Linked DNA regions of Saccharomyces cerevisiae S288C. The protein of the gene in region 2 purifies or fractionates together with the protein of the main gene of each other region. This does not show direct contact. Each region holds a gene or a part of one and is shown on either strand. Other genes may lie near its edges.

What was found.
Region 1: the proteins of BUD5 (region 2) and AXL1 purify together in Saccharomyces cerevisiae (affinity purification with western blotting; 3 studies listed by BioGRID). This does not show direct contact.

What each region holds. Positions count from the first base shown.
Region 1 is NC_001148.4:780,472-790,308, forward strand, and holds AXL1 (Axl1p), read left to right. Parts: upstream 1-1,573; coding exon 1,574-5,200; downstream 5,201-9,837. Other genes in the region: high-affinity Cu transporter CTR1, read left to right, coding at 5,737-6,957; YLH47 (Ylh47p), read left to right, coding at 7,490-8,854; YPR127W (pyridoxine 4-dehydrogenase), read left to right, coding at 9,612-9,837. UniProt on the Saccharomyces cerevisiae protein: Probable protease. Involved in axial budding.
Region 2 is NC_001135.5:192,981-201,491, forward strand, and holds BUD5 (Ras family guanine nucleotide exchange factor BUD5), read right to left. Parts: upstream 6,570-8,511; coding exon 4,641-6,569; downstream 1-4,640. Other genes in the region: exosome non-catalytic core subunit RRP43, read right to left, coding at 1-38; RBK1 (putative ribokinase), read left to right, coding at 317-1,318; PHO87 (SPX domain-containing inorganic phosphate transporter), read right to left, coding at 1,434-4,205; MATALPHA2 (homeodomain mating type protein alpha2), read right to left, coding at 6,566-7,198; MATALPHA1 (transcriptional co-activator mating type protein alpha), read left to right, coding at 7,462-7,989; YCR041W (uncharacterized protein), read left to right, coding at 7,931-8,263; transcription initiation factor TFIID subunit TAF2, read right to left, coding at 8,194-8,511. UniProt on the Saccharomyces cerevisiae protein: GDP-GTP exchange factor (GEF) for the small GTPase BUD1/RSR1. Regulates the activity of BUD1 together with BUD2 which is a GTPase-activating protein (GAP) of BUD1. Required to produce both the axial and bipolar patterns of bud site selection.

The DNA.
Region 1 (9,837 bases), on a different chromosome or scaffold from region 2:
GATGACTAACTATTGTTTCCATTTGCTAGCATGGTAAATTAATACATTTTTGAATTTGCTGCTAGGGTACAATACCATGCAATGTTTATAATATAAATCAAAGTGACAGAGATTCCTAAAAGCTAAAACAAATCCATTGATAATATAATAGTAGGTTGGTCAATTCACCGCAGATTCAATGTAAGTATTGATACTCCATAAATGTTAACTTCAGGTTGATATTCGTTACAAAAATCTTAGTTTGCTTTTCATTACTATCTGAACGGAATGCTCAACATTTTTCTTATTCTACAATTGTACAATGTCACGTAAACAGTTTGATTTGTGTATTTACAGTGGAAACATTTTACTTGTTGGCAATAGTACATGCGCAGATAATCAAAAACCATTGTTTCCGACATTATTTCTGACAATTGCTTGAATTTGCTGAACACTTTTCGAGGTACATTCTGATAAAGAGTGCATTATTAGTTATTTAGAGTATATTAAGACATCTTCTCGAAGATATATAAATTCGTAAAGGAAACAAAAATTTCGGGATAACAAAAAAGTTTCTTCTTTTTACGTATTAAATGGTCTATTCATCGATCCTATTTCACTATCAATCCTATTATATTATCAACTTTTGCATTTCTGCTTCCACCAAAGTCGACGGCTGTTTCTCATCGTTTATGTAATATCATAACGCATGTATGACATTATATCAGTGGCATGAGCGCTAGTCCATGAAATAGGAGTTTAACTCCAACATACGGAACATTCGCATTATCGCACACGTAAGACTCGATATATTAAGGAAGGAATTTCCGAGTTGGATTAATAAAGGAAAAATAAAATATAGTGTTGGAAATATAGTTGCCTCAGAATAATATCAATATAATATTAAAACGTATATAGTTAGATACCCGGTATTATTCGAGTACGCATTAATTCAGCAGTATGACTTTCTGTGCCTGCTTATATATTGTAACCGTATGTTGTTCTACCTTAAAAATTTGCTAAATTGAAGGAATTGACTATCGTCACTGAAGAGTATTCGTATTATGGTATTATGATACATTGTCTAAAAAAAGGATACCATTTTTCTTCAATAGAACAAGAAGAGAATCTAAGGACACCATTTCGAGAAATAGTTTACACAGTATATCCAATAACTCCAATAAACTACTTTCCTATACAAATTTCCGATGGTTGGATTAATAGTAAAACTTCTATACTTCTTTCATCCATCAAGAAATTAAGGTAAACATCTGGTAAGCACTATCCAACTTTTTTCTGTTACACATATGGTTTTTCTGCAATCATTTCTTCCCACTTTGCATGAGTAAGTGTCCCATTTTGTCTCAAGCCGTTAATCTTGAAACCGCAGGCGGAGTTACTTGATGCGGTATTTTACATGCCTTTTTTCACTGCAAGAAAAAAATGAAACACTTATTTACACGATTTTCAGGATAGTTTACGCTGGTGAGTATGCAGAACAGTTAACACCTTTGTTTTATCCTTTTGTGTCTTGATTATATAATATAAATGTGCCTGGCGTTAAAAAATAGCAACTGAATAAGTTTTTTTACTGATGTCCTTGAGAGAAGTAACTAATTATGAAGTCTCGTTTTACATCCCGTTGTCTTACAGCAACAGGACTCATAAAGTTTGTAAACTGCCAAACGGAATTTTAGCATTAATAATATCGGATCCAACAGATACTTCAAGCTCATGCTCACTGACTGTTTGCACAGGTTCCCATAACGATCCAAAGGATATTGCCGGTTTGGCGCACCTTTGTGAGCACATGATTCTTTCTGCCGGTTCCAAAAAATACCCTGATCCTGGTTTATTCCACACACTAATCGCAAAAAACAACGGCTCTCAAAATGCCTTTACCACAGGGGAGCAAACGACTTTTTATTTTGAATTGCCCAATACTCAAAATAACGGCGAATTTACATTTGAATCTATCTTAGATGTGTTTGCCTCATTCTTCAAAGAACCGCTCTTCAACCCTTTACTGATAAGCAAGGAGATATATGCAATACAAAGTGAGCATGAGGGAAACATATCATCAACCACAAAAATATTCTACCACGCAGCAAGAATATTGGCCAATCCCGACCATCCTTTCAGTCGCTTTTCCACTGGGAACATACACTCGTTATCTAGCATTCCACAACTGAAAAAAATAAAACTAAAGAGCTCATTAAACACTTACTTCGAAAATAATTTTTTTGGGGAGAATATAACCTTGTGCATAAGGGGACCGCAGTCTGTTAATATTCTTACGAAACTAGCTCTATCAAAATTTGGCGATATAAAACCCAAAAGCGCTGTAAAGGAAAGGAGTATATCGATTAGGACGAGGTCATTTCGAAGATCGAAGTCTTTAAAAAAACGCCAAGATTCTTCCAAAAACGACTACAGTGACTTGAAAACCTTTAAAATACTGAACACAACGTGGGAAAAAAAATACAAAAATACGATGTGTTTTCAACAATTTCCTGAATGCAATTCGATATTTATCAATTCAAATAAGGTACCTATAATGAGACTTCTCTTTCCTGTTAGCGATAAAAACACTCGGTTTACAAAGGATGACATTAAAATATACAGTCATCTTTGGTGTGAACTTTTCGGCGATGAGTCTCCAGGATCTTTGAGCTATTACTTAGCTTCAAAAGGCTGGCTCACAGGCTGTTTTGCCTTTACCTCAGAATTCGCTATTGGTGACATAGGATTAATTTTGGAATTAGAACTGACAAACAGTGGCTGGGAAAATATTAAGAGAATTACGACAATAGTACTTAATAGACTCTTGCCTTCCTTTTACGTAATGAACATCGATTACTTAATCACTTTTTTGAAAGAACAGAATTTGATCGACCTCGTTAGCTTTCTGTACCAAAGTTCAGAGGATCTTCCAATGGAAGAGTGCTCAAAATTAAGCGGTATTCTTCAGGACGATTTAGAATGTTTAACCCCCCCTAATATATTCAAAGGATTTAAATCTCTTATAGAAATAGATGATCCCAACATCGAAAAATATGAAAACACAAAGGCCAATATACAATGGTGGACAGGGCAAGCTATTAAGTTCCAAAATTTTTTAAAATCTTTCATGAATCATGACAACATGCGCCTTTTACTCTTAGGGAATATAAAATCTGGTAATATATTTGATAAAATGAAAAATAAAAGTGATATATGCACCGATTTTTTCTATGAATTTGAGTATTATACGGCAAACGTTCATCTAGCAAGTGATAATAAATTTCATTCAAACAGCTCGTATGAATTTAATTTTCCCACAGGTAATCTTTTTTTACCAGATTGCGTCAGCGATCCTTTAAAACTACAACAGCTCTTCTTAGAATGCTCGTTAAAATCGAAATTTGCTACGCTTAGACCTCAAATTTATAGTGAGCCCACTAGGACAAAGCCTCAATTAGTCAGTGAGAACCAGAATTATGAGATGTGGATCTTAAAAGAAGACCCAAATTTTGCCTCAGACAATAAATCCGTCGTATCATTTGAAGTTTTGGGGTTAGGCATCAAACCTAGTCCGGAGGCAACAATCCACCTGGAAGTACTAGCACAGGCATTATTTATCATCACCTCTTCATTCCTTTATCCCGCTCTGAGAATTGGTTACACATATGAGATTGCCTCATCTAGTAAGGGCAACGTAACACTGCGATTTACTATTTCTGGATTCCCTGAGGGTGTTTTCACAATAGTAAAGACGTTCGTGGATACGCTAAAACTTATTGCAACAGATCCAACGTTTCTTTCTAAAGATACCTTGAGAAAGGCAAGGATTTTAGTTAGAAATAAATACAAGAACGCGTCATCGGACAACTGCGTGAAGCTAGCTAGCGTTGGATTGCTGATTGTTTTAGAGAAATATATATGGACTTTAGAGGATAGAATTAATGCATTAGAGCTTACCGAGTTGGAATCCTTCGAAAAATTTTGTTTTTTATTCTGGAGGAATCCTAAACATTTGGTCTTGTTCATGCAGGGAAGCCTTGAATATGCTGACGCAATCAACCGTTACTTAAATAACAATTTTACGCAGCACCTAAAAATCAGCAATGAAGGGAGCAAACCGACCATACGTCTCTACCCTCCTCCCAGTACAAAAGATCTAGATCAAGGCACAAATGCCTTTATATCATATAATGGTCACCAGGATGATCCCAACAATAGTATTGTGTATTTTATTCAGACTGCACAAAGAGATGACATCAAAAATCTGACACTAACCTTTCTTACCGAATATCTATTTTCACTAACGCTAGTGCCTGATCTAAGAAATAAAAAGCAAATTGGGTACATTGTTTTGGGAGGACTCAGGGTTTTAACAGACACTGTTGGGATTCATATAACCGTAATGTCTGGCAGCTCGGGGCACAATCTGGAAACTAGGATCAATGAGTACTTATCTTACTTGCAGCTGCAGGTGCTAAATAGATTCACCGAGTTTGATTTTCGAAGGATACTTCTAGAGCCGTTCTTAAATCTTTTAAAACAGAACAGTACGAAACAGTTTGAAGGGTCGGCTGGTCCTGTAGACCTATTAAATGAGATAGTGGCAAATGTGCAAAATGGTGATAATTACACTCTCAACAATAAACAAATGAGACAACATAGGAAGGTAAGAAATAAAATTGCGGAAGGAAGGCTTAATTTTCAAGAAGATCATGAAATGATTGATATCTCATTTTTGCAAAAATTAACTCTAAAGAAATATTTAGCATTCTTCGAGTCCAAAATCTCTATATATTCCGCTCAAAGAAGTAAGCTATCAATAATGATCACAAGTCCAATGGCAGAGAAGGAAATTGCAAGCAGGAAAATGTTCCTTCAGCTAGAGGCCTTTCTGAAAATAAACGGATTCGCCATAAAAAATGAAGACTTGAAGAAAATTGTCGAACATTCAAAGGGAAATCCTATTTTACTTGTAAAGAACCTTTTTACTTATTTTCGTAGGAGAAATGAAGTTTTCAAGCTCGGAACCGTTGTATTGCAGGAAATATTGAAAATCATCGGAATGAATCTTAAGCAGAGATACGGCTCTATATTAGGGTTTTCTTCCCAAGATGGTGAAGGACAAGAAATAGAAAAATTTTGGAACAACGACACAAGTCCGATTGTTCCTCTTCAGGAGCTTCCTGAACCAAACTTTTTCCGCAAGGCCGCATTTTGAACCGTATTTTGCTCGTTCCAGCCTTTCCACGTTTTTGTTATCTAAGCAACTTGGCACATTTCCCTACTATACTACAAACCGATACGTAAATACTTCCCTAAATAGCATATGAATTATTCAGTAATTTTTAAGGATCGAAACTGCACCTCAACTATTCGTTACTGTGGTTATGTTCTCATGTATTGATGCAAATCATGGGATATTTGCTCAAGACGACGGTAAAATGAGCAAAAATGGCACGATCCTGAAAAGAGCACTTTTCAAGATTCGGGCTACAAAATGCAACATAAAAAATGTTGTATTGTCATCTCGAGAGGGTCTTGTATGTTTTATTCCTCTTATGATTAGTTCACATTAGTAAAACAGATACGCAGTGTGCTCTTAATAAACAACTACTCCATAGCTTTATTTGCATAACAAAACTTTTAAGCACAAACTTAAACAGGTGGAGTAATAGTTCGGCGGCGACTCAAATTACATTTGTTGGAAGAATCGAATAGAAAATAAAAAAAAGTGTATTATATTTGACATTCAAAATGGAAGGTATGAATATGGGTAGCAGCATGAATATGGACGCCATGTCTAGTGCATCCAAGACAGTAGCATCGAGTATGGCGTCGATGAGCATGGATGCGATGTCTAGTGCCAGCAAAACGATATTATCGAGCATGTCATCGATGAGCATGGAAGCGATGTCCAGTGCGAGCAAAACGTTGGCGTCGACTATGTCGTCAATGGCAAGTATGTCGATGGGAAGCAGTTCAATGTCAGGTATGTCTATGTCGATGAGCAGTACACCAACAAGCTCCGCCAGTGCACAGACAACTTCTGATTCTAGCATGTCAGGCATGTCAGGTATGTCATCGTCTGATAACAGTAGCTCTTCAGGGATGGATATGGACATGAGTATGGGAATGAACTATTATCTGACTCCCACATATAAAAACTATCCAGTTTTGTTTCACCATTTGCATGCAAACAATAGTGGTAAGGCTTTCGGTATTTTCTTATTATTTGTTGTGGCTGCTTTCGTCTACAAACTACTGCTTTTCGTTAGTTGGTGCCTTGAAGTTCACTGGTTTAAAAAATGGGACAAGCAAAATAAATATTCCACTTTACCTTCAGCAAACTCCAAAGACGAAGGAAAACATTATGACACAGAGAATAATTTTGAAATTCAAGGTTTACCTAAGCTGCCAAATTTATTAAGCGATATATTTGTTCCATCTTTAATGGATCTCTTTCATGACATTATAAGGGCGTTCTTAGTATTTACCTCTACGATGATTATTTATATGTTGATGCTTGCTACCATGTCTTTTGTTTTAACATACGTTTTTGCTGTAATTACTGGGTTAGCTTTATCGGAAGTCTTCTTCAATAGATGCAAAATAGCCATGCTAAAGAGGTGGGACATCCAAAGAGAAATTCAGAAAGCGAAGAGCTGTCCTGGCTTCGGTAACTGCCAATGTGGTAGACATCCCGAACCCAGCCCTGATCCAATTGCTGTTGCCGATACCACTTCCGGAAGTGATCAAAGTACTCGCCTGGAAAAGAACAACGAATCTAAAGTTGCGATTTCCGAAAATAATCAAAAGAAAACACCTACACAAGAAGAGGGATGTAATTGTGCCACAGACTCAGGAAAGAATCAAGCAAACATAGAGCGCGACATCCTTGAGAATTCCAAGTTGCAGGAACAGTCCGGGAATATGGATCAAAACTTACTTCCGGCCGAAAAATTCACTCATAACTAATAACTAGACAAGGTTCGTCCACCTATATCTTCTTCTTCCAATATCTCTATACATCAAAATAAGAATATCGTTCATTTCTCAGAAGCTCAAAAAAAATCTCAAAATGGATACTTCTAATGCCCTCATGAAGAGGAAAGAAAATAATAGACACAGCGACCTTCCTATAAATAACAGACTTGTATATAGTTGAATGTCTAAGTAATTTTAATTCAAAAATCCTTAACTATATTACCACCTTGCAATAATAAGAGTGAAGTGTTAAAAATGATACTTGCTTGCCTTCATCGAGTTACCGTTGTCTCCCACGTTTCTTTTTTCTCGTTGGACAGAATTGCTTCCGCGCGAACATTTTCCACTTTTATTTGAAAGAGGACATTATTCAGATCGTGTCAGTCTCATCTAATTGGCAAAGTGGCAATTTTCGAAATAACAAGATAACTGCATAAAGTAACACTTGTCGAATTGAAAGTATTTTGCCAGTGATATTTAGGTTCGAGTAAAGAAAATTTCATAAAGAAATCAACAAGACACAATGCTGAAATACAGGTCTTTGCCAATCAAGAGAGCAATCCATCATCCGGCACCAGGAATTACTCCAATTTCTCCCCGTATTATGGTAAGCAGGTTGAGAGTAATACCATCTTTTAATTTGAAGTTCAATCGTTGGAACTCTTCGGTGCCAGAAAGCTCGAAAAAGGAGTTAAAAACGACAGACGGAAACCAAGAAAGTGCGAGTAAGGTCTCTCCAGTAAAAGAGAAGGAAAAAGTACCCTTTAAGGTTAAGATGCAAAAAGCCCTTCGTCATTATTGGGATGGTTCCAAACTTTTGGGGTTGGAGATAAAAATTTCTTCCAAATTGCTCATGAAGAGTGCTGCAGGCTACCCATTGACGAGAAGAGAAAATTTACAACTGAAAAGAACTACTCAAGATATCGTTCGGTTGGTTCCATTTGCTGCTTTCCTCATTATACCCTTTGCTGAACTTCTTCTTCCATTTGCATTAAAGTTATTCCCCAATTTACTTCCTTCTACTTATGAATCAAGTAAAAAACGCGAGAATAAACTAGAAAATTTAAGAAACACAAGGAAGTTAATGTCTGAAATCATAAAGAATAACAAGTCCCATTTTAAACCTAATAATATTTCCGAGGAACAAAAAGCTTTGTTTAACAGGTTCTACACACATGTCCGTGCTACAGGAGTGCCGGAGTCTCGTCAACAGCTAATCGAAGTAGCTAGATTATTCACTGATGATACTGTATTGGATAATGTGACAAGACCTTACTTGATTGCATTAGCGAAGTATATGAATTTGCAACCATTCGGCACTGATGTGATGCTACGTTACCGTATCAGATACAAAATGCTTGAATTGAAAAAAGATGATCTATCTATATATTACGAGGATGCAGAACAACTCTCCCTCTCTGAATTGAAAACAGCATGCGCCTCCAGAGGTATTAGAAGTGTAGACGTAGAGCCTAGCGTGTTATATTCGAATCTAAGATTGTGGCTGAACATGAGGCTCAAGGATAAGATCCCATCCACGCTGTTAATCATGGCTACTGCCTATAACTACGGTAATGTGCAATCAAAGGAGTCATTGTACGACGCATTATGTGACGTTTTAATCGGTATCCCTGATGAACTATACCATGAGGTTAAAGTAAACGTCGTTAAGGAAGATGAGGCATCCGCTAAGCAAAAATTGAAACAATTGAGGGAGCAAGAAGAAATTATGAAGGAAGAAGAGCAGCAAGAAGAGAACGCCATTGTGAGCGTCAAGGATGAGTTGAGCTTGGACGACCAAGACAAGAACATAGATGCGGCTGCTCCAGACGTAAAACCGCATGACACCAAGCCTATCGGAGAAGCCGCTGCCATCAAAGAGAAGTAACCCAGTTTTCACCTGGCCCATTAAACCGCACGATACACTCTCCGCTACTCTCGCCAACATTCTTTTTATACATACTTGCACGAAACTGCTTTTTTAGCAATGAAAAGAAAATGTAGTGAACTCTACTATAGATTTTGTACATAAGATAAATAAAATACACTACTATATGAAATTTTTGTTTGTAAAGCTGGTGTTTGCACACATAGATAGTATCAACGTAGGGGATCAACACATGCACGACTACTAGAAGCCTTACCCGTAACTTCTTGCATATCTGCTTTGCCAATATTTTTTTTTAAAGTTATTTCTTAAACTACTCCTCGTGCTGTCCACATTTTTACCCGTTAGTTGTTAGACAAAAAAAAAGCGCAACTATCTCCCTTTTGCGCATCTCCCAAGTCCTTTACCAAATATATTAGAAGAATGACACCCGGCCGAGACGGATGAAGCGGCCGTCTCGGCCGCCTTAGGAAGGGATCTGCGTTTTTGTTCGTTAATGAGGTAATCAAGGGCGTACTTGGTAGAACGGTACTAAGTTAATCATTGCTGCTCTCCCTCAAAATTACTCAAAGAATAGAGTGTCTATTGAACCGTAGAATAGGCATTTATTATATAAGGGGTTGTCAATTTACCAAATTTTTTACTTCATCTCAGGACTCTCTCTTAAAATTATTTTCCTTGCCATTTTCTATGTTATGTAGAATAGAAAAACAGGTACATATTAACTAAAATATACACCAAAAAAAGTAAAAATAAAATGTCTGTCGCCGATTTGAAAAACAACATCCACAAGTTAGATACTGGCTATGGTTTAATGAGTTTGACTTGGAGAGCCGAGCCTATCCCTCAGTCGCAGGCTTTCGAGGCCATGCACAGAGTGGTTGAGTTATCCAGAGAACGTGGGCACAAGGCCTTTTTCAACGTTGGTGAATTCTATGGTCCCGATTTTATTAATTTGTCGTATGTTCACGACTTCTTTGCGA
Region 2 (8,511 bases):
TGTATCTCAATAGTTTCTAACGTGGTACTTTCAGCCATTTCCAATATTAGATGCCTGTGAAACTACTGTCAAACTTATTTGTGTAACAATACTCATCGTCTAATTTGTCCATTATTGTTATATACTCTGTCATAAAAAAAGAAAGAAAAATCTTATACTTTCGTCGACTGTGATTTGAAAATCTCTCCAGATCAAACGGGAATAAAAGGGTTTATATCCGAAGGTGGCCAGAACAATCATGAAGCAAATAGGATAAAAATAGCCAATAAGATGTTTGTTGTCTTTCATCCCAAAGTTCCAACAGCATATTTCAAAGATGGGTATTACAGTAATAGGTTCTCTAAACTATGATTTGGACACATTTACGGATAGATTACCTAACGCTGGAGAAACTTTCAGGGCTAACCACTTCGAAACACATGCTGGTGGTAAGGGATTGAACCAAGCTGCGGCCATTGGTAAATTAAAAAACCCCAGCAGCAGATATAGTGTTCGAATGATTGGTAATGTTGGAAATGATACATTTGGTAAACAATTGAAGGACACTTTATCCGATTGCGGAGTCGATATCACTCACGTCGGTACTTACGAAGGCATTAATACGGGTACCGCTACCATACTAATTGAAGAGAAAGCTGGTGGCCAAAATAGGATATTGATTGTAGAAGGTGCTAACAGCAAGACTATTTATGACCCGAAACAGTTGTGTGAAATTTTTCCAGAGGGCAAGGAGGAAGAAGAGTATGTTGTTTTTCAACACGAAATTCCTGATCCTCTTTCCATTATTAAATGGATACATGCGAACAGGCCGAATTTTCAGATCGTATATAACCCCTCACCTTTCAAGGCCATGCCTAAGAAAGATTGGGAGTTGGTAGACCTTTTGGTCGTTAATGAAATTGAGGGTCTTCAAATCGTGGAAAGTGTATTTGATAATGAACTTGTTGAAGAAATAAGGGAGAAGATAAAGGACGACTTTTTAGGAGAATATCGTAAAATTTGTGAGCTTTTGTATGAAAAACTCATGAATCGAAAGAAAAGAGGAATTGTGGTTATGACTTTGGGTTCGAGAGGGGTGCTTTTCTGTTCGCACGAAAGCCCTGAAGTACAATTCCTTCCGGCTATTCAAAATGTTTCGGTTGTTGATACTACAGGAGCTGGAGATACTTTCCTGGGCGGTTTGGTTACTCAATTGTATCAAGGAGAGACCTTGTCTACGGCTATAAAGTTCTCTACATTAGCTAGTTCATTGACCATTCAAAGAAAAGGTGCTGCTGAAAGCATGCCACTGTATAAAGATGTTCAGAAAGATGCATAAAATCTACTGCAATTTTTTACTTTTAGTTTGTTAAATTTTAGTTTTCGTCATATATATAAAGTTTAAAAAGGTACAAAGAATGCAGTAATAAGAAATGTAATTACATGAGGGCAGTTTAAGTGCTACCTTTTAAGACGGAAGAACTAATACCATAACCGAGAGTAATTACGCAGACAAACGCTAACAACGAAGCAGGAACACCTCTGGAGATAAAAGCGCCTACAGTTAGCCATCTATTACCCTTTTTATCGGTCATAGAAATAGCAGTAACGTTTGGAAATCCAGATGAAGCCAACCCCATACCGCATGAGGCTAACAAGGCGCAACCGAACACAAGAATTGGAGCTGCCTTTGGATCGGATAATTTGTCACCAACTTCTTGCACCAAGGGAATAATGATGATTGCTGACACAGTATGTGAGACAAAAGTGCCCACAACTAACATTAAAATACCGAAAATACATAAGATAGCAAAAACACCATCGTTCTGAATTTTCTTTTGTAATGCTCTTGCAATAGTTACCAACAAGCCTGAAGATGAAACTGCCTTACCAAGGGCTATACCACCCATAGCAAGAACAACAATTGACCAAGGGAATGTGTTGAAATCCTTTGTTGATAGTAGACCTGTACCAAAAAACAGGACTATCGGTATTACTGCAATTTCACCGGACGATCCAAAAGCACTTTCTATTTGTGACTCTACACACCATAGAAGAATAGTAGCAATAGTTACAATGATGATAAAATATTGCTTTATAGTAAATCTGGTCCTTATTGGTTTAAATTTTTCCAGTTTAGTTTTGCCTATTTTAAAGGTGAGTATCATCAAGGCCCAGGAGCACAGCATCGATAGAATACCTGTAGGCAGAGCGACAGCAAAAAATTGCCCCCAGCCGATTCCATAAGGTTTTAAGTACTGCATGGAGATGATATTCTGTGGCGAAGAAATAGGTGAAGCCATACCACCAATATCTGCCGAAAGTGCAACACCCATGACTAATGCCTTAGCAAACGGTGAAGTGTAGTCCAGCGGATCTAGTAAGGGTGTTAATAGAGAATATGTCAATACTGGGGAGGCAACGTTGGAAATCCACATCGAAAGAAAGAATACAACACTCATTGCCATTAAAAGGACATTTCTTGGCTTGGTACCTGCAAGGGCCAATAACCACGATGCCAAAACTTTCGCAACGTTATATTGCGACAAGGCTTCACCCAATGTGAAACCTGCTAATAAAATCATAATTGTTGACGACCACATTGTACCTAAGATTTCTGTAGAGGCAGCTGCTGCTCCCATTACCTTACCGTCATCGTCTTTTAGTACCCTAAAAAGGACAGTTAGAAGGGGAACCAATAAACCTGTGATGTGTAATGGAATGGCTTCACTAGCCCATAAGAAAGCACAGCATTCTACCAATGCCATACACCGGTGTTCGACAGGGTCATTGAAAGTTTTAACACCCAACAAAACACCTGTGACAATGATAATGAAGCCTATTTTCATTGCTCTTTTCCCAAAAAATAGCTTAGGAACTGCCAAATTTTCAATTTTAGTAAACTTCAAATTAATTGGCTTAGGCAATGGATACTTGAAATATTCAATTTGAAGCTTTTCTTGCATAAGTTTCTCAGCTTCATCTTCAATAGTTATTATATCGTTATTTTGCGAAGAGAGGCCCAACATGTCTTTCCATGTGTTGCTTCTTTCCCAAACAATGTGGTCGTGCAGGTACGACTTTAACTCTTGCTTGCATGAATCTACGTTCCCAGGCTGACCCATGAGAACAGCATAAAATTCAATAAGTTGTGCAATTTTACTGTTTAAACTGCTTAAAGTTTCATGCTGGAAGATGTAGGTGTCTTTGAAAAATTCTTCACTTTCTATTAATTCTTGCCTAGTGTTCATGTGCAATACTTTATCAGACTTCTTAGTAATTTTACTGAAACCCATTCTGTTCAATTCGATAAAAGATTTCAACTGGCAAAGGTCTATGTAAAGATTTATTATTGTCTGTTTTAATAATGACTTTTTCTGAGATTTAATGTTAAATTGCGAATAATTCAAGAGGGCGGTATTGTCGGTAGTGTCAGCAAACACGTCAACGTCATCATCTTCATCCATTTCTTCTTCGCTGTAATCAAACCTATTTCTCAATTCACTGTCGATGTTTGAAGAGTGTATTTCAAATGGGTTATTAGATGAATGTGTCTCTGATGTACCAGAAATAATTTCTCTTAAAGGAGGCAATGCTTGAATTTCAGGATTGAAAGTTTCATTCAATCTTGTTACAATGCCTTCCTTCTCCAAATCATTAATCAAGTGGTCAAATCTTTCATAGAACTTAGCTTCCATTCTTTTGTAGAAATCATCTACTTTCAATTTCTCGTCGCTCAGGTTAGTTACGAATGTATCATAAGAACTGAAGAGCGTCTTTCCCTCGCTACTCACAGATGAGCTGCGTGATTCAAAGAATTTCTTACGTATAAAATTCTTATTGAAAGAGGTGGTTTTCCCTTGAGGAGATAACTCGTCTAACTCAATTGTTTCCTCGTTAATATTGTTCCCATCTATGGCCTTTTCGTCGGAGTCTCCCCTTTTGCTTCCTGAAGGTGTTTTAGAACCAAAGAGCTTACGCTTGAGTTTATGTGTAAATCTTCTTTTCGATGAAGATGGTTCTCCTGCAGCTATGTTGCTTTCTATATCAGCGATTGGACCTGGAGTCTGAGAGTCAGCGTCATCGTTTAAGTCACCGGTTGGCGTTTCTTGTTTCAATTCATCTGTCTGTAATGTGTAGATCAAATTTTTCAATTCGTTATAATCTAGGTAATGATTCTGCCATTCAGGGACAGCGTTGTATTTGAGAAAGTGTGAGAATCTCATTTCGAGGCACAATAATAGCCGCCTTTACCGTAGTTTTGCTGCACCTTTATCTGAGAGCTGACTGCTTTTTTGGTGTGAAACACTGTTTTCTGGTAATAATTTTTCAATGCATCGGATTACTTTTCCCACGTGCGAAATCATCAATTAATTAGATTGAAAAAAGGGTAAGGGAAAATAAGAAAGAGGCGGTAGCCTAAAGATACGGTAATTGAAACGTTTCCTATGCACAATCTTAAACCTTTTTAGGTAATTGATTAAGTTGACTGTAATATCTGTAAAAGATTACATCTAATTTACGTCTGGTTTCTTATCAAAAAATATTATCTACTGTAGTTATGCAAGTATTCTTAATTTTCAGTACTAAACATGAATATTAATTATTTGTGAGCGTACAAGAAGCAAAAGGAAGTCATCTTTCTTTGAACAGTTCTGTTTTTAGGTAAGCCTTGGAACCTTAGCTATACTGACTTGATACGCCCTGTCTTTGTTGTCGTTATATAAAGTGTGCACCTTTATCATAGCCCCTAATAAGCTTCTTGCAGTAGTATTTGAACAGTGTATATCTTCATATTGCTTTTGTTGTAAATATTGCGCAAAAGCGACTATCTTTGTGATTTGGTTGAACTTTTGCATATTCACGTTATTACCATCTTTAGTGAATGTATCGTTTCCGTCTCTTATGAAGGTAATGTCCCTGATAAGCAGTGATGTAAAAGGTACACAAGGAAGCTGACTGTGGAAAATATGTTTAATTGTTCTTCTATAAACGTTGTAGTTGTTGTTTGGATGTACGACGACTTTTAGGCGCTGAAAAAGGTGGTCTGATTTAACATCTATCGGGAGAGATAGTCTTTCTATTGAATGATTTTGCAATGATGTAATGATTGAAGCAAGTGAGTTTAAGTTTCGTAAGTATAGACAAGACAGTGCAACTTGTAACCAGTAGGAAATGGTGTGCGTTTGCTGCAAAGTTGTCTCAAGAACGTAGGACGATAACTGGTTGGAAAGCGTAAACACGGAGTCAATTGTTGTATCGTTGTGTTTGAAATGTCTTGTGAATTCTATTGTTTCAATATCCAAGTAAAGAGAAGATTCTAAGAGAGTCAATGTCTTTGCAAGTGACCATGGAGATACGTTTAGAGCGAAGGCTTCGACTTCTAGAAGTTCACCCTGTTTCCATTGGAAAAGTAAATCACTGAGGTCAGTTGCACCGCACAATTCATCATTTGCGTTCGTTTTGTCTATCTCGTATTGGAGAAATAAGTTTTCGTAGTCCAGGGGCGGTTTATTTTCTTCGATTTCCTTATCAGTTAGACCAATGTAATGAATCTTCAATTGCCTCGTTCTTTTTTTGTTTATAAACAGCTGAACTATGTCTGCAAACAGTTCTTGGTATTCATAATATTCAGCCAAGTGACTGTACCAAAAATTGAGGATATCTTTTAATGTTGTCTCACTATCTTGCCAATAAGACTCTACCCAGATTTGTATTAGACGAGGGACGGAGTGATTTTTGTGTTTGTTTTTATTAATTGTGGGATAGGATAGTAGCAACTCTTGGAGGAGAGCATTGTCAGTTGTCCAGTCTCTGAAGTTAAGTAGTAAGTTTGCGGAGTCAAAGGGGGATGGCTTTTGCCATTTGTGAGAGTTGTGCGGCAGCATCTTATTCAAATAGAGCTGTATTCTGAAGACCTCTTGTAGAACATCATCCATACTAAAAAGTAAATCGTCCTGTCCCATTACGAGCTGTATTAGTGCTGTGACCCTCTGTATATTTACGTTGCCATGAAGAAGGTAATGGGCGATATTTTGATACAATTCCTGAGTTGCATGTTGGATTGAGTTTACGAAGGGTCGCCAGACGGCCAGAAACCTCCAGGCGGAGTTAACAACTAGTAATACGGCATCCATGTTTGCATCAGCGCCGAGCCTATACCAGTCACTGAGTAGACGTTTTCTTGCTCTTTTTATGTCCTGACTTCTTTTGACGAGGGGGCATTCTCTAGAGACACAGGCAGTTGCTTCCAGCAACTGCCGTACGGCCGTTCTCATGCTGTCGAGGATTTTTTTTGGGACGATATTGTCATTATAGGGCAGTGTGTGACTTATGAATTGTTGTAGAAGGACGTCTGTGATGTTGGAGATATGTATTTTGTTAACTCTTCTTGAGACGATTTGGCCCTGGATAGCGAAGCGTGCGGTTACAAATAGGTCGTCTTGTTCAAGAAGGTAGGCGAGGACATTATCTATCAGTACAAACATCTTAGTAGTGTCTGAGGAGAGGGTTGATTGTTTATGTATTTTTGCGAAATATATATATATATATTCTACACAGATATATACATATTTGTTTTTCGGGCTCATTCTTTCTTCTTTGCCAGAGGCTCACCGCTCAAGAGGTCCGCTAATTCTGGAGCGATTGTTATTGTTTTTTCTTTTCTTCTTCTATTCGAAACCCAGTTTTTGATTTGAATGCGAGATAAACTGGTATTCTTCATTAGATTCTCTAGGCCCTTGGTATCTAGATATGGGTTCTCGATGTTCTTTGCAAACCAACTTTCTAGTATTCGGACATTTTCTTTTGTAAACCGGTGTCCTCTGTAAGGTTTAGTACTTTTGTTTATCATATCTTGAGTTACCACATTAAATACCAACCCATCCGCCGATTTATTTTTCTGTGTAAGTTGATAATTACTTCTATCGTTTTCTATGCTGCGCATTTCTTTGAGTAATACAGTAATGGTAGTAGTGAGTTGAGATGTTGTTTGCAACAACTTCTTCTCCTCATCACTAATCTTACGGTTTTTGTTGGCCCTAGATAAGAATCCTAATATATCCCTTAATTCAACTTCTTCTTCTGTTGTTACACTCTCTGGTAACTTAGGTAAATTACAGCAAATAGAAAAGAGCTTTTTATTTATGTCTAGTATGCTGGATTTAAACTCATCTGTGATTTGTGGATTTAAAAGGTCTTTAATGGGTATTTTATTCATTTTTTCTTGCTTATCTTCCTTTTTTTCTTGCCCACTTCTAAGCTGATTTCAATCTCTCCTTTATATATATTTTTAAGTTCCAACATTTTATGTTTCAAAACATTAATGATGTCTGGGTTTTGTTTGGGATGCAATTTATTGCTTCCCAATGTAGAAAAGTACATCATATGAAACAACTTAAACTCTTAACTACTTCTTTTAACCTTCACTTTTTATGAAATGTATCAACCATATATAATAACTTAATAGACGACATTCACAATATGTTTACTTCGAAGCCTGCTTTCAAAATTAAGAACAAAGCATCCAAATCATACAGAAACACAGCGGTTTCAAAAAAGCTGAAAGAAAAACGTCTAGCTGAGCATGTGAGGCCAAGCTGCTTCAATATTATTCGACCACTCAAGAAAGATATCCAGATTCCTGTTCCTTCCTCTCGATTTTTAAATAAAATCCAAATTCACAGGATAGCGTCTGGAAGTCAAAATACTCAGTTTCGACAGTTCAATAAGACATCTATAAAATCTTCAAAGAAATATTTAAACTCATTTATGGCTTTTAGAGCATATTACTCACAGTTTGGCTCCGGTGTAAAACAAAATGTCTTGTCTTCTCTGCTCGCTGAAGAATGGCACGCGGACAAAATGCAGCACGGAATATGGGACTACTTCGCGCAACAGTATAATTTTATAAACCCTGGTTTTGGTTTTGTAGAGTGGTTGACGAATAATTATGCTGAAGTACGTGGTGACGGATATTGGGAAGATGTGTTTGTACATTTGGCCTTATAGAGTGTGGTCGTGGCGGAGGTTGTTTATCTTTCGAGTACTGAATGTTGTCAGTATAGCTATCCTATTTGAAACTCCCCATCGTCTTGCTCTTGTTCCCAATGTTTGTTTATACACTCATATGGCTATACCCTTATCTACTTGCCTCTTTTGTTTATGTCTATGTATTTGTATAAAATATGATATTACTCAGACTCAAGCAAACAATCAATTCTTAGCATCATTCTTTGTTCTTATCTTAACCATAAACGATCTTGATGTGACTTTTGTAATTTGAACGAATTGGCTATACGGGACGGATGACAAATGCACCATTACTCTAGGTTGTTGTTGGATCTTAACAAACCGTAAAGGTAAACTGCCCATGCGGTTCACATGACTTTTGACTTTCCTTTGTTTGCTAGTTACCTTCGGCTTCACAATTTGTTTTTCCACTTTTCTAACAGGTTTATCACCTTTCAAACTTATCTTTATCTTATTCGCCTTCTTGGGTGCCTCCACAGTAGAGGTTACTTCCTTTTTAAT